Linked DNA regions of Schizosaccharomyces pombe. The protein of the gene in region 1 binds, or shares a complex with, the protein of each later gene. Each region holds a gene or a part of one and is shown on either strand. Other genes may lie near its edges. The genes, in order: mrpl12, mrpl10, mrpl33 and rml2.

What was found.
Region 2: mrpl12 (region 1) and mrpl10 share a complex: the UniProt entries of both Schizosaccharomyces pombe proteins name them as parts of the mitochondrial large ribosomal subunit.
Region 3: mrpl12 (region 1) and mrpl33 share a complex: the UniProt entries of both Schizosaccharomyces pombe proteins name them as parts of the mitochondrial large ribosomal subunit.
Region 4: mrpl12 (region 1) and rml2 share a complex: the UniProt entries of both Schizosaccharomyces pombe proteins name them as parts of the mitochondrial large ribosomal subunit.

The regions. Positions count from the first base shown.
Region 1 is NC_003421.2:1,158,642-1,163,065, reverse strand, and holds mrpl12 (mitochondrial 54S ribosomal protein bL12m), read right to left. Parts: upstream 2,611-4,424; 5' UTR 2,557-2,610; coding exon 2,522-2,556; intron 2,473-2,521; coding exon 1,986-2,472; 3' UTR 1,731-1,985; coding exon of another isoform or gene 1,074-1,730; 3' UTR 750-1,073; downstream 1-749. Other genes in the region: protein Nro1, read left to right, coding at 1-197; Lsk1 complex gamma subunit lsg1, read left to right, coding at 1,074-1,730; ipk1 (inositol 1,3,4,5,6-pentakisphosphate (IP5) kinase), read right to left, coding at 2,940-4,424. UniProt on the Schizosaccharomyces pombe protein: Component of the mitochondrial ribosome (mitoribosome), a dedicated translation machinery responsible for the synthesis of mitochondrial genome-encoded proteins, including at least some of the essential transmembrane subunits of the mitochondrial respiratory chain.
Region 2 is NC_003423.3:1,820,830-1,824,687, forward strand, and holds mrpl10 (mitochondrial 54S ribosomal protein uL15m), read left to right. Parts: upstream 1-2,073; 5' UTR 2,074-2,106; coding exon 2,107-2,871; 3' UTR 2,872-3,128; downstream 3,129-3,858. Other genes in the region: translation elongation factor EF-Tu Tuf1, read right to left, coding at 1-394, 446-580; U6 snRNP-associated protein Lsm3, read right to left, coding at 1,297-1,334, 1,436-1,550, 1,605-1,622, 1,693-1,785, 1,827-1,844; Nop52 family nucleolar protein, read left to right, coding at 3,733-3,775, 3,820-3,858. UniProt on the Schizosaccharomyces pombe protein: Component of the mitochondrial ribosome (mitoribosome), a dedicated translation machinery responsible for the synthesis of mitochondrial genome-encoded proteins, including at least some of the essential transmembrane subunits of the mitochondrial respiratory chain.
Region 3 is NC_003421.2:2,221,102-2,224,438, reverse strand, and holds mrpl33 (mitochondrial 54S ribosomal protein uL30m), read left to right. Parts: upstream 1-1,856; 5' UTR 1,857-1,867; coding exon 1,868-1,917; intron 1,918-1,972; coding exon 1,973-2,216; 3' UTR 2,217-2,235; downstream 2,236-3,337. Other genes in the region: tif6 (translation initiation factor-like ribosome biogenesis protein), read right to left, coding at 182-809, 1,125-1,196, 1,251-1,285; SPOM_SPCC1919.07 (uncharacterized protein), read right to left, coding at 2,236-2,856. UniProt on the Schizosaccharomyces pombe protein: Component of the mitochondrial ribosome (mitoribosome), a dedicated translation machinery responsible for the synthesis of mitochondrial genome-encoded proteins, including at least some of the essential transmembrane subunits of the mitochondrial respiratory chain.
Region 4 is NC_003421.2:694,124-698,485, reverse strand, and holds rml2 (mitochondrial 54S ribosomal protein uL2m), read right to left. Parts: upstream 2,575-4,362; 5' UTR 2,565-2,574; coding exon 2,403-2,564; exon of another isoform or gene 2,379-2,402; intron 2,330-2,378; coding exon 1,403-2,329; 3' UTR 1,004-1,402; downstream 1-1,003. Other genes in the region: RNA cap binding protein cbc3, read left to right, coding at 87-306, 359-611, 734-881; transcription factor TFIIIC subunit Sfc4, read left to right, coding at 3,641-4,362. UniProt on the Schizosaccharomyces pombe protein: Component of the mitochondrial ribosome (mitoribosome), a dedicated translation machinery responsible for the synthesis of mitochondrial genome-encoded proteins, including at least some of the essential transmembrane subunits of the mitochondrial respiratory chain.

The DNA.
Region 1 (4,424 bases):
TTTATACTCTGGATAAATCTCCTGAACGCTTGTTAAAACTTGCGGATATAAAGATGGATCTGGCTCAAATTGTTCAAGACGAGGCTAGTCAGGATAATTACTTGAAGGAAGCTTGCAATGCTATCAAGGAGGCTCAAGGATCAGGTGTTGAGTTAAGTCCTGATTATGTTGAGTTTGTAGAAGCTTATTCTGCTTAGGATCGCTTTTACTTGCAACTTGACGGGTGTATTTCCATTATATCATTATCCCGTTGTTATATTTTTCTCCTTGAACAATACATCCTGCATTTTTTTTCTCTTTTCGAGAGTATTTTTCTCCATTATATTTACTTTTTAGGCAAACCTTATAAGTTTGTCGCTGGCCATTTTAGATTTCAAAGCAGTTCTTTATTGAAAGGAAATGTTGATTTTGTATGTACGACTTAGTAGAGCGTATAAAAAAATAAAAATTGTTTACTGATTCATGGGTTTCATTTTACCATATAAGTAAGGTCGGTTTTTGTGCTTTTATTAAAGTATAGTAGTTATTCTTTCCCGCTATTTATACTCAGAGATCCTAACAGTTTGGTGAATGGTTATAACTTTATCAGGGCTATATAAAAATATCTTTGAAAATTTACTATTTCGCTGTTGAAATTACTAAAAAAGTAGTATTTAATAAAATGAGATTTTAGTTTCTTTAAAGGTACAGTAATAGTGTTTGAAATAAAGTAACATGCTACTTAAAGCAACAGATTTTGCAACATGCTAACAGTTTGAAGACCTCTTAATATTACTTATGCACTGAGTATATTTTAATTTATTTGAATCTGGAAAGGTTCAACGTCCTTTCGCAAAATAGTATCCCAACGCTTTTTTTAGTCTCAAATTTCAGAGATTGCAGCTTCAAGAATAGATGAACACTTGGCAAAGGAAGTTTATTCTATATTTGAAATTTAAGACAACACACATTATTATTATTTAAAAAATTATTCTTGATGTTTTTGGAATTCAAAGTTCACGAAGTATAAGAAAAACCATCATAACAAAAATCGTTGTTGCACTCGCAATTACCAATATACTTGCAATAATAAAATGGATCCATTTGAGGGCCGCATGACATTTCTACAGCTTTTGGGAAAATTGAATGCATCGCAATTCTCTCAAATTAAACCCGCGCAATTTGCAATTAAGCATCTAGACTTGGAAGAAGACTTATATTCATGTATATGGGAGGAACTAGAGTCAGGTTCGTTCAATACAAGAGTGAATATCATGTACTTTGTGGACACACTCTGTGAGATGTGCTTAAAAAATGGCCTTACAGGTGGATATCTTAATATGATTAGTAGAGATATCTGTAAGCTAGTCCAGAACGTAGCTCCTATAGGAGCTGCTGGAGCTGCTAACGCTCCAGAGGTTAGAAAAGTACTCCAGTCTTTGCATGAAAAGAAGGTAATCGATGATAATCAATATAAAGATGCTATGGCTACGGTAGAAGCCCATGAACAAGCGAGCAAGTCAGGTGATACCAGTACTTCAGGAGCCATTTCAAAAAACGACATTCTTAAGAGGATTGAAGAAGACAGAGAGCGACACAAAAGAATGCGTGAAAACATTTGGGCTATTTCAGAACCAGAGTTAGAAGCGGAAATTGCATGGAACACTACCCAAGGAATTACTGAAAGCGATTTGGAATCCCTAAAGGATGAATACGAAAAGTTTAATGAATGTCTTCATGCAACTTCCTGAACCGAAGAGCGAAAACATAGAGTGTAACCCAAATAGAATAAAAACATATAATTAACTAATAATTTTGGAGTATTTTATACATTACCTAATATCTGGTTTTTTTAGAGATGATGAATTTTCCCTCCGTAGCTTAGTTTTTATGGGAATCCAAGAAAGTAAATCGTGTCACAATGTCAAAGCAATAACAAAAAGGTTGCCCAAAGAATTTGAATGGCGGAAAAGCATAGAAATGAAATTTTTTATAAACAACCCAGTTTATTCGAGGACTACTTTACAAGAAAGTTTCTCTAACTTCGATTTTATAGCTTCAGCATCCTCTTTCAAAATATTTTCTTTCAAAACCTTTGGAGCACTTTCAACGAATTTCTTTGCGTCCACAAGAGATAATCCCAAAAGAGACTTCACCTCTTTGATCACCTTGGCTTTCGAACCAGCATCAAACGATTCGAGTTTCAAATTCCAGGTGGTTTTTTCCTCTTTCTTTTCCTCAGGAGCTTTCTCTTCAGAAGGAGCGGCTGAAGCTACTGCTGGAGCCACTGCTGCCATCGGAGCTATTTCAGCAATGTTTAACTTCTCCTTTAATTGCTTTACAAGTTCAGACGTCTCTAACAATGATAGAGAGCTTATTTTGTCAACCATTTCCCCAATTTGGGCATTATTGTTTTGTACAGATGCGGCAGCTCGAAATGATCGCGTGTTTACCAACGATCTTGCCCAGTTCTTACTGGAAGATAAAGCACGTCTTTTAAAGTTAGTATAAATTTGTTAATTAAAAATAATTACAATCTTACAGATTTCTTGTTTGGCGTGATGCGATGCGAAACATGCTGTATTTTAAAATTATACTTGAGGTGAAGTAAGGTGCAAGTGAGATGGGGGTTGGCAAGTTAAGTATAGTAACTACAACTTTTAGGTGATCATTCATCAAATATCTAAAATATGTTCAATGGATCTTATTAATTTTTCATTAGTAATAATTAGAAAATAAACTAACCTCGTAGTAAAAAATGCTCTAGAATTATTAAGTGTTCAACAGTTAGTTGAAGAGAACAAATAAATCTAACCCTTTATTTTTATGCTTTTATCTCCCTGTTAATTATCAGGCATATAACAAATAAAACAAAAATGCATAATGTATTGAAATATTGCAATAAATCCACAAATTGATGGTGGTATTACATATTAGAAAAAAAATTAACAATGAGATAATTACTTTATGCTGCTCCGGCATGCTTTGTCAGTAGACTTCATCCCACGACCATAGTACCAACCGCCTTCAATCAAATTCCTTTCATCACGTTCCCATTTAGACATTTTGGTATTCATGTCTTTAGGATCTAAATCTAGTAATGTTATGTGATCTTTACCAATGTATAAAGTCACATCTCGAAGGGTCATCGCTAACGCAACATCAGTACGAGAGTATTGCTCTTGTAGGTCACGAAGCTTCCGTAGTATACCAGACTGAAACAATCTCATTGCGATATCAGGACTCACAAATCCTTGAAGACAGCACAAAAACTTGGGCCAATTGTTGAAATCAAGCTGTAGAGGACAAAAACCAACGGGTCTACCACGCATACGGCTAAGGGCACACGTTCGACAAACAACCCAGTCAGGTGGAGCGGCAGGGGACTGAGTCAACCATTTTGGTTTCATTTCAATTCCATCTTTGAGATCTTTCATTACCAAACAGTATTGCTCATTTAAATTTAAATAAATACCAGAAGCATTTTGGGCCGCCAGCAAAAAATCCCTAGTAACTGGCTGCAAAAAAACCTCAATTAAAAAGCTTTCCATTCCAGCAAACAAAGGATAAATTACATTTTGATAGTATTCATAAACTTGTTCTGTAGTAAAAACCTGTCCTCGACGTCGAAGACGAATTACCTTGTCTTGAAAGTAAGGATTTTTACCAACATACTCAAACACCACATTCGCACTTCCTGAGGCAAGGTATGCCCATTCAGAAATCACCAGGGATTTACCGGTGGAGGAATGATTGGAGATAACGGATGTTGGTGAATAAGGTGCAGGGGATTTAAAAAGCGGATTCGATATAATTGGAACTTGAAAATTACTACTAGCAACCGATTCATCTTGGGACTCTACACCAGAAGAAAGGGCTTTCATGGATGGAGGACGCGACATAATTGGAGTTGAAGGAGTATGTGTGTCAACGGGAGAATTTGTAACAGAAGAGCTAGCGGTACTAGCCATAGGCGAAAGGCTTACCTGAGACGCTGAAGTATGCAAATTCTGAGCGATGAGAGAATTCATGGCATCAATTTTTCCAGCTTCCCACTCTCTATTTGATAAAACATCACCAGATTTTGGAAGTTCTACGGGAGGACGGTTGTTGTTTACGGCAATTAAGGAAATGCTTTCAGCAGCCTGGCAAACTGAGGAAAACTCAACGAGCCACGTTTGGGGAATATCGTCTTGAAAACAATCCCAAGGGCGAACAATGTTGTGCATTTTTCGAAACATTTGAAGTTGCAAGCAGTAAAAATGCTTCATAAGTTGTCCAAAAAAAACACGACTTTTTGCAATAAGAGTTGGGAAGGACAAAGTTAAATGCTTCTGAAGGTCATCCAATTCACCATTGACACGGACAAGCTGGCTTTGTAATGCTTTAATTTTACTTTTTTTGGTTTCAGGATCAGGCAATTCGTAAACAACCAATAATTCTTT
Region 2 (3,858 bases), on another chromosome or scaffold:
TGATGTATACAACAATTTGCTTTACACCGACTTGACGAGCCAGAAGCAAATGTTCACGAGTTTGAGGCATTTGACCATCGGTAGCAGAAACAACAATGATAGCGCCATCCATTGTAGCAGCACCAGTAATCATATTCTTAATGTAATCGGCGTGACCAGGACAATCCACATGGGCATAGTGACGATTAGCAGTTTCGTATTCAACATGGGCAGATGAAATGGTAATACCACGTGCCTTTTCCTCGGGGGCCTTGTCAATTTGACTATAATCCATAAAACTAGCTTGACCAAGATCAGAAAGGCATTTAGTAATAGCAGCCGTCAACGTCGTTTTACCGTGGTCAACATGACCAATAGTACCAATATTGACATGCGGCTTTTTTCTAACGAACACCTTAAAAAAGTTAACAAGTAATCAAAAAGATGAAGAATGAAAAAAAAATACCTTTTCGTCAGCATAAGTTCGAGCTGGGACGGTGAACCGGTTAATCAAACCTGAAGCGAAAGAAATGCGGTTCAATCGCAAGCAATTTTTTCTAAAGCCTTGAAAGAGGAGAGAGGTAGCTTTAGCTGAATTCATAACGAAGGGAGCGTGTAGGCAGAGGAGAGGTCTCTGGCGCTCGTGTTGTCCTTGAAATAAGTCTCAGCGGTGCGCATCGTTATGAGAATACTATTGACACGAGCATTTCATGAAATAAATGGTCCTGGGTGTTTGGATACAATCAATATTTGTAGAATTTATTTTATTTTGTTCTATTTTACCGCTACGCCTATATATGATGATACGCTTGTTAATAATAAAAAAATACTAGATGAACTAGTGAACAACACCGCCAAATCGAAAGCAATTGATAGTTTTTTTTTATTTGCACAATGAATGGTATTATGTCTCTGATCTCTAAAGGAATGTCAATCTGATTTTGCTAGATCGCAAGAGCAACCACCATGCAAGCAAAAATCGCTTACTATCCTGTCAAGTACAAAGAATAAAACCATTAATGAAAAGTCTCAATGACAAAGCTCAGCGTCTCGTGAATGTTGGTTAACTTCGAAGAGTCTTTTGCTTTTATTAAGTAAAAGGATGTAAGGAATAACAAGAAGTGGTGCGTGACTAAAGAAAGATAAAACTATCCATCCAACGGAATAAAGGAAAATCAAACTTTTCTGTAATATAGAATACTCAAATCAAAAGTCGTTACTATTGTACGAAGAAGCACCTCTAAAGCGAAAAATTTTAAACAAAAGAATGAGATAAAAATATGTAGATAGCTTTGTATAGTAATTTTATTCGTTCCTTTAATTACGAGGTGGAGCAATCAAAATAACCGAATCACCTAAAGTTCATTAGCATTTGGCGAAAAAGGAAAAACAGTTTCGAAAAGGAAAGCTTAATCATGGTCAAACTTTTCGAGCGTAATATTTAGAATCTACGTACCACGAACAAAGAGCATCTCATAATGTTTGCGAATCGTTTTTAAGGCCTTGTCCTTATCGGTCTCTTCATCATCAAAAATAGTTACAATTTCTTCAGCATCTCCTAGTACCATATTCTAAAATACGTGTAAGTAATCCATCCAAATGCGAGTTATGAATATGATTCATACCAAATGTTCATCATAGGCCTACAATCGAGTTAGTATAACCAATTCAGAATAAGAAAAATATTCAAGAAACGTTAAAAAAATTTCATACATGAAGACGGCCATTTAATTCTCTATCTCCCCGTAATTTTACATAAACGATTTCATCCAAAGAAAGCCTCACCAAATCAAGAGGTTCCGCGACCTACAAACATTAGTTACCGAGTTACTGTTGATAAATCTTACTGCCTGTGCCGATTCCATTATAAAGTAAAGGGTTATTATATCTACCAAGCAAGATCGCTGTTGCTGCAATTATGCACTGGCATATGTCAGGAAGAAATAAAGGAGGAAACAAATTCGAATTGCGCAGTGCAGCGATGCTGAATATAGTAATAAAGATATTTTTATGAGACGCTATAGAATTTTACGTATTCGTGTGTGTCCGAATCTTTTGTAATAGTAAACAGCAGCCTTGGACTTATTACCATCTAAACTCGACGAAACCCGTTTTTTGAATTGGAAAATGTTTAATATTTTATCTCGGGTTTGTCGCAGTTCTTCATTTCATGGTTTTTTGAGATCCTCTGGTTATCCAAGATTTGGTGCTAGTTTCCGCGGCATCAGTATGTTGAATGATTTAAACAACAGTGCAAATTATCAGTCAAAGAAGCGAGTGGGTAGAGGCCCTGCGAGCGGTTTAGGAAAAACCTCTGGACGTGGTCATAAAGGATCTGGTCAAAGGCGTGGACGGAGAATTAAACCTGGTTTTGAAGGTGGTCAAACTCCTATCACCAAATTATTTCCTAAAGTTGGTCACAGTACGGGACATTTGAAGAAACCGTTGCGTCTGGGGTTAGGGAGAGTTCAGGAATGGATTGATCGTGGTAGATTGGATGCTAGCAAGACAATTACTATGAAAGACCTCCTCGATAGTAGATGCTGTAGAGGTATTAAACATGGAGTTGAACTTACTGCTGACGAACCTGGACTCCTTAAAACAGCAATTTCCATAGAAGTTTCTAAGGCTACAGTTCAAGCTATACAACAAATCAAAAATGCAGGCGGCAGTATAACAACAGTATATTTCAGCCCGTTGGCGCTACGTGCCCATTTGCATCCTTCAAGTTTTCGTACACCTCCTCGCCCTCCCCTTCCAGTTTCAAAGAAAGACATACGCTACTACACAAATCCACATTTTGCAGGGTATCTTGCCAACGTTAAAAATATTCGAGAGCTATATTATGGCGACCAACGATTCCCCTACGAACCGATTGTTAAAGATAAATAAGTAGTTCCCATATTACATCAGAACTTGATATATGTTCATCAAAAATCCCGCTTTCCTAATATGTCCTTAAAACTTTGTTATGTCTATTGATGATTCCGTGCAGCCTCCTTTACTTTCTTGGATGGGTTACATGTTGAGTTTTGTAAGGAAATATCTGCATCCTTTTCTTAGTACATTTGTATAATTACGTTTCCAATTTCGGTGTTTGAGCTCTCTACTGACTTTTTCGCTTACAGTTCAATACCCATTAGTAATATTTTGAATACCTTTCTCATTCGAAAATATAGCTTCCTTCTTTATCCCCCAAATCCCCTTGTTGTAGTCAGTTCATTCTCTGTCAGATAAACCCTTTCTCACATTTATTCATTTGCTTCATTAGTAGATTTGAGCATTCGCAGTCATGCACTTTTTTTGTATAATCAAGAACCCCTGCCGACTGTTTGTTAAATTATTATCTTTTGCCTTTTTTTGTTTAAAGCTTTCTTAAAATTTTTTCATCCTCCGATTGTCTATCCAACAGGAAAAGATCTTTCAAAGGATCTCCTTTTCAAAGGCATGCAAGGAAGAAGAAAAAGAACATTTGTTGATCAATGGAACGGTTAAAGACTTATATATAAGAATGACTAAGAAAACCGGCATTTGTAATAGAAGTGTAAGCGAACCATAGTAGTACATTAACCTTATGATCAATTAATCTACATAAACGGTCAATTCTAAAAAAAATAATACATATTGACTGGGAAACTCCTTATTTCATATATTAGAAAGGGACATTTATCAACTCTCCAATTAGTGCACTAAAACGCAGTATGGAAGGAACGATGCTAAGAACTGCTTCAACACTTTGTCAATAAACCAACAATGTCGGCTCCGTCGCCGTTTATTAAGAAACTTGCAGCTAATGGTAAATTTCTTACATATAAATGATTAATGTACTAACACTGTAAGATCGAAAAACTCGTGATAAGGCTCTTGAATCGTTGCAGC
Region 3 (3,337 bases), 1.1 Mb from region 1:
AAGCTTGGGTACCACAATGGATAGGACTATTAAACCGAAAGGCATATCAAAAATTTTATAACCAGATACATACGTATAACGTATCAACATTAAAACTTTAATAGGAAAATATCACGTAGGATGAATTATCCAAACTCATAAATCCTGATCAATAATTTTTTAGTTAGCTCACACCGACTGCTTATGTATAAGACTCAACAAGAGTGTCTCTGTTGCTTATAATAGCAGAAGGTTGAGCATCTTGAAGTTTAAATATAGATTCACAGACAGCCAATTCAGTAGCCGTAGTATCAAGTCCAGCAAACGCACACCAGTCGTTCACAACTAGACCAGCACCGATAACATCGGAACCACGGTTGATGGTACCGGCAACAAGAGGAACTTGAAGAAGTGATGACAATTCATCCTGTTCCTGAATGCTAGTACGAGGGTGAACCAAAGCACCTTGATTGCTCAATGCACAATACGAACCGGTTAAAACATTGCCTGCAACGGTTTGACGGAAAACTTCAACATCTAAGACATCAGCAATAATTTCCTCGGTTTCACGCTCAATATCAGGATGAACAAGGGCCACATAGTCGTTGCAAGCCACAATGTTTCCTAGAGCTGAAAGTCGTTCATCAACACGTTGGATTTTGACAGGATCTGGAAGAGAATTGCGGAGGTGCTGTAGTTCATTATCGGTGGTAGAAGAGGGAACTAACAGACCTTTTCTATTACCACATGTCAAACGACCAATGATTCTGGTTCCTCCAATTGTGGTATGAACAACGGGTACAACATCACCTAACTCTGCCTCGAACACGCTGTTATAAAAGTTAGTGAAAAGTTGATAAATGTAAAAAATGCCAAAAAAAATAATTTGTCGAGCTGCATCGAGTCAAGGAATAATAAAGGTAATGAACAGCAAACCGCCAGAGTTTAAGTAGTGGTTTGCATTTATGTAGCAAAGTCTCTTTTACTCAATTAAAGAGTAGTTAGGCTACATCATTCACATATGTGCTATTTATTTTTCTCATAATACGTTCGACTGGTTAAGGATTTTAAGAACCTTTAAAAAAATTTTGAATCGTTTACATTTAGAACATTAAATTTTGGCATCAAATAAACGTTAAGCTTACCTGTAGAAGTTTTCAGAGCCTCCAAGCGCTACAAGTGCGTATGAGTTTGTGAGATTAGAAAAGACACCAATCCTATAATTTGTTAATATCATGCGTCTATTAAGCAAAAAAGCTGAGTAAACTTACTCATTAGAATTCTCGAATTGAGCACGAAGTGCCATTTTGGTAAAGAAAAAGTTTTATCCCAGCCAAATTTCACATCTTAAAAATAATAATCCATTGAACATCGTTAATATGATATTAGCATTGTGAAGCAGACACGTAATACCAATTAACATAATTTTTTGTGATATATCGGTAATACTGCATTACACTAATGATTTACTAGGTTGCGTATCACTATATGTTACATGTTGGAATATTAGTAAAGATCCGTTTATTGACAGTAAACAGATAAGTAGTCGTCTATACTCATAGACACCATGTGATTACAACTACTAGAAAGATGATAATTATAGATGTTACTGTAAATCGCTCCTCTCCATTTTTTAACCATATCGGTGACTTACACTAATAGACTTCTTATAACAATAAATATAACATTGTAGTTAATATACTGCATTCCACTAAATGTGGATCGCAAAAAATTCATCGTAATTCAATGTATCGTTAAATAGATAGCAACGTAGTGAATAATAGTGAACAATAACGAGCTTGCGATATGAATTGTATTTTATCGGTTGAACTAAAAGAGTTTCAATATTTAGTGTTAAACGGACTCCACGAACTTCTAGTTTACCATAATGTCATTCTTTCGAGTTCGTTTAGAAAGGTCAGCCATCGGGCTCTCGAGGTACGTGTTTTGGAAACGAGAAAAACATGCTTGTAATTGCTAACCAATATTTTAGTAAGGTGCGCAGCGTTTTGCATTCTTTGAGGTTAACAAAAAGACACTCCGTAGTCTATTGCGATGTAAATCCAATCAATGCGGGAAGAATTTTTAAAGTAAAAGAACTCGTTAGTGTCAGTACTGTGAAACAAAAGTTAGCCGCTGGGCAAGAAAAGAAGTCTCTTGCTTCTAGTAGCGGATTTACAGTGATACATCGATACAATAACGGTTTAAAAGAATTGAATAACATGTTTGAAAGTTAAATTTTCATTCTAGTTATATTTATCGTAATAGTTCATCTAACCAACTTTGGTCTTTGTTTGGCTTTTCAGACATATAGTTCCTAGAGTCGTTTCTTGAAATATGCATGCTGGAATGATTAGAAGAAATGTAATTTTCCCCTTTATCTTCTGTAATGGAAGGCGGAGCAGACTGATCCATACTTTCAAGAAAAGAATCAATATCTTCTTCCGCTTCAGCATGGCTAATGTTTACCTTTGGCTTTTGTACATTATAACGCTTACGGAATTCTTGAATTGACTTTTCATGCTCAACGCTCTCCAACATGTCGGCTACTTCTTCACGTTGGATAGTCCGAACTTTGGACTTGGGTTTTTGGTTGCTAATTCCCAAACCAGTAAGGGGCCGTGCTTGTAGTTTTGAATACTCGAAATCTTCTTCTTCATCTTGAATTGTATCTCCATTCCCCACGGTCTTCAAACTTTCCAAACTTGGATATTCTTCCTCATTGTTATCTTCATCAAAGTATTCCCCTGCATTTTTAAATCTCCATTCGTTATTTCCCAAATTTTTTTTACGAGGTTTTACAGGTGCATCATGAATGTCATGCTTTTTTTTATACGCTAATGTCGCTTTTCTCTTCCATTTATCTTGTACTACCATATGGGACGTCGTGTCTGAAGAGGCAAGGAGGAACCTGTACCCTATAAGACAATAAGTTTTTTTACAATGTTGGTCAATTTTTTTCTTTTCTCGTAGTGGTTTATATTTTTAACGACTCGAGTATAATAAAATTTGAAGCAATAATAAAGAAGAATCCTTTTTTTTTTTTTTTAAGCCAAACTTGCTTAGCGCTTTTTAATAAAAATTCGCACTCGACTGAACACTAAAAAAAAACTTTTCAATGATTGTACATTACTTGAATGTATAATAGACAGGTTTCTGGGGAAGCTTCTTCAAGATAGTTTATCTACCAGAGTTCAGCAGACCTGGGTGATCGAAGGAACCTAGATCGTTTTTCGTAACCAAAAGTTTAGAATTTTTTTTATACAATTACTTCTCGTTAAATAATTCTTCCTAAAAAACCTACTATTCGATGGTAACATCAGTTGTTTCGGTTTTTTCATTTGCAGTATAAATTGTG
Region 4 (4,362 bases), 460 kb from region 1:
TAGCGCGTCGTAATTTTCTTTGGACGGCACATTCACTCTTTTGGAAACTGCATGTCTGCGAAGCAGTTGTAGAGAAGTAGATTTAAATGGATATCGTTGCAGAGACTCAGATTGAAGAAGAATCATTGATACCCGACGCCACTAGTACTCCATTAGAAACGGAAGTGGTGGCTGATACTACATTGCGTAAAACAGCTTTACATCTAGCTGGCGTCGATAATCTTTCAGAAGAACAAGTCAAAGGATTTATTTCAGCTTATGCTCCTGAATCTCAATGTACAATTGAATGGATTAATGATAACGAATGTAAGAAGCGAAAACTGGCAAAGGGTTAGTCTAACTCTATAACCGCGTATAGGCAACGTTGTTTATGCGGATGATGATGTTTCACGAAATGCTTTATTTCATTTAATTATGGAGTCTCCGACAGAATTTTCAGAGGAATTGGAATATCAAACGAAACCACACCCAACTGTACCGACGTGTCAATTCAAAATACGTTACGCCCGCTACGGAGACAAGAAGGTTAAAAGCGCACATCTTTACTCGAGATATTATCTGTTTCACGGTGATCCTCGAGAAGAAAAGGCTCAGAAGAGCAAATCTAAAAGGTATAACTTGTGAAAACCAAATTAGTCCGGGTGCACTCATACTTTTCAAAAATCATTTCCTCTACTTTTGAGAATCTCCTTTTACTCAATTTTATATTCAAATTACTAACACTTTCGCACAGTAGAAATCAAGATGAAAGGGGTTCGCCATTAGATGAACGACTAGGTCCTAAAGTGTCTGACCTTACACTGATGGAAAGAATATTCCAAGTTCGACGCAAGCCACGCAAATCAAGGAGAGACCGTCGTTCCAGGGTTTCCAAGCGTTAATTGTGTTGTAGAGAAATATTAAATACCCAGTTTATCCGCTTTTAAGTCGCTTTTCGCTGGACGAAGGCAAGAAAAAATTAATATGCTAAATTAGCTACAATTTTATAAATAAAATTTTTTTATTTAGTTGGCCATATTAAAATAAAACCGTTCTTTTCTGCGTTTAATAGAATACTCTTTTGGTACCTGAATGATATCGATAACCCTTTTAAGGTAGATGTAAGCAAACGACAATTTTGAATGGGATAGTCCTTAGCTTTAAGCAACGTTGTGATGAACAAAAATTACCAATACAGATTTAAATTGTAAGAGCTAAACTCTTAAAAAATGCTTAAAATTTTTCGTCGATAAATGACGGTCGACACAAAATAACTATACATAAATGCATCTGGTCCACAAATGGATAGGTAATAGCATCGACTATTAAAATGGAGAAGGGATCATGAAAATTGAAATGCATTACGGTAATGTAAAACATAGAAATGTAAAAGTCATGAAGACAGAGATCATTAATAAAATGATTACCGCTTTTCCTTTCCACGAGGACGATCGCGGACGAGTAATTTATTAACATTTTTACCTCTTCTTGTTTTGTATCCACCTTTAGCCAAAACACCCCAAGGAGATTGAGAAGGTTTATTACCAATGCTTTTACCACCACCACCACCATGTGGATGGTCACATGGATTCATAGCTGTACCTCGAACCGTAGGACGAATGCCAAGCCAACGTGAACGACCGGCTTTACCAAGCTGGCGATGTTGCCAATAAATATTGCTTACAACACCAATGGTAGCAAATGATGTATCCAAAATCTTTCTCTCTTCACCACTTTGTAGACGAACGATAGCATATTTACCATCAAAAGCTATGATACGAGCGCTACTGCCAGCAGAACGACATAGCTTTGCCTTTTGATTTGGATTTACACCAATGGCATGAATGACAGTTCCTATAGGAATTAATCTGAGAGGAAAACAATTTCCTGGCTTCAAATTTTTTGCTGCAAAAGTTCCATCTTCAATTTCAGCAGCTAGGACGGGGTCCATTTCTACTGGCTCGCCATTAGAACCAGTCTTCAAAAGCGATCGAAAGCTCTCAACTGTATCGCCTTCGCGAAGCCCGTCACAAGCCAAAATATAACTTTTGTTGGCTGTTTCGGAATTCAATTTTTCAACAAGGGCAATGTGACCACTTCTACCAGGGTCATACTCAATTCTAATCACTCGATGAACACCCGGTACTTTTCTTTCAAAGTCAACAAGACGAATACGTTGTTTGTGTCCACCACCCTGATGCCTTACAGTAATTCTTCCTGTTTCATTTCTTCCACCTTTTTTTCTTTTTGCAACGGTCAAAGGTCGAAAAGGTTTCCCTTTCCAAAGGTAATCACTAACTGGTCTTTTTAAATGACGAAGACCAGGAGATATAGGTTTGTAAGTTTTAATCTTGATAAGAATTAGTAAAAAATGAATTAAGGCTTGATAAATAAAAAGTAACCCTCGTGTTAATATTACATACCTCGAACTTCGTTTTTGGTCGTAGAAGCATCCCTACATCGTAGGGTCTCTCGGAAGATTCAATTTTTTCACCGCTTGTAGATGCGGTAGAGGCATATCTGAACAGCTTTAACGCATGAATTTGAGGAATCAAATACCCCCGAAATCGATTATAACTCAACATGGGGATTTCCAACTAAACCTATGGTAAGAACTCACAATATGATGGACTGCGAATTAACGAGTTCAATCATAATTTGCGACGCTCAGTGCTAAAATCTTTACACAATCCAAGGTGTCGTTAACTGTGTAAATAAATGAACATTGATCTAGGGAATACAACATAGAGGAAATTGAACACATTAGCTATAATAATGAAGAACTTTGTTTTATTGTTTGATCATCTGTGTAGTAAATATTTTATACATTGTAAACCCGATTCTATACGTTTGAAAGTAATGGCAGGTCAACTGAGAATTTCAACCACGTTATAATATATTGGAAATTTTGATAAATTGAATTTGCTTTTCCTTCGAGTTGAGCAAAGTTAAACTAGAATTTACGACACCTGTAATAAGCCTGCTGAGCATGAAGAGTTTAAGGGATTCAAGGTATCAGGAAAACATTGCTTTCTCACAAAACTCTTCTCACATTCCTTTTTGGATGTGTGCTTAATTAATTACTAAATAAGTTCACATACCAAAAAAATCTTATTTAATATACAGTTTCAACGAAAAGTTTCAACTATGGAAATTTGTTTTGTTAACTCGTTCATTTTCGTTTCAAAACAATTCGAAGATGGGGTTGATCTGCGTTTGTTTAATATAGCTTATTAGTTTGCTTATGAAAGGTTTCGATACTATACTCTGTGTACACTGACAAAGGTCAATCAACATGAAAAGCCTTGAGATGCCATTTTCCAAAAAAAAAAGTGAAAAACACTATTTGATTGACTAGGATCTTCCAAATTCTTACAGATATTAGGTATTTTGACAACATCAAAATTGTCAAGTTTGCAATTCAAAAATGTTGCAAGTAAAATAACTGGTGTCAGGAAAAAAGGACTAATATTTATTGACTTCATATTAATTAGTCAATTGTAGAACAAGATATGTGGTACCCATGACCTCTTTGTTTATTGAGTACTTCTATAATGACTTACTTCAACTTTGCCTTCACCAACGCCAACGCGAAAACAGCCAACTTCAAGTAGGCAAAAGGAACAGACCGATTTGAAAGCATGATTGAGCATCTTAAAGGATGATTCAAAATGGTGGAAATAGCTATGTGGATTCCAATATGAATGAAACGCAAAATGATACAACTGACAACTTTGATGCTGAAATGCAAGATCTAAACGGGTATATAAGCGAAATTGTCGATGAGGCTAGGAATGTATCTGAAGTTGATGCAAAATTTTTGGGAGATACCTCTGCCCTTCAAGCTGAGGGCCTTTGGTCAGACGAAGAGTCAGATTATGAAGGCAGTGACGATGAATCAAACTTTAGTAAAACAGCCTCAAGAACCGAGGACGACATTGCGAACGAGGAATGGGAAGAAAATTTAAAGGCAGTTGCTGGATTTAGAAAAGTCCGTAAAGGTCATAAAGGTCGAGGACGTGTTAGTCGAGCTGATATGCTTCCCTCGGTGGAAGTGCAACAAATGTTGAGTTTAGCGAATCATTTGTTTGCGCAAGAAGGAAACTTCGACGAAGCCCAAAAATTAGCTGAAGAGATTGTTCGTATTGATAATAATGTCATTGCGGCTTGGAAAATGCTTGGTGAATGTCATCGTCAAAGGGGTAATGGAAGAGTAAATATTGAAAAGTGCTTAATTGCTTGGATGGCGGCTGCACATTTAAAGCCGAAAGATCATGAACTTTGGTTCACCTGTGCGAAACTCAGCGAAAGCTTAGAGTTTTGGGATCAAGCAGATTATTGTTACAACAGAGCCGTCTCTGCGAAACCTCCAAATAAGTCGGA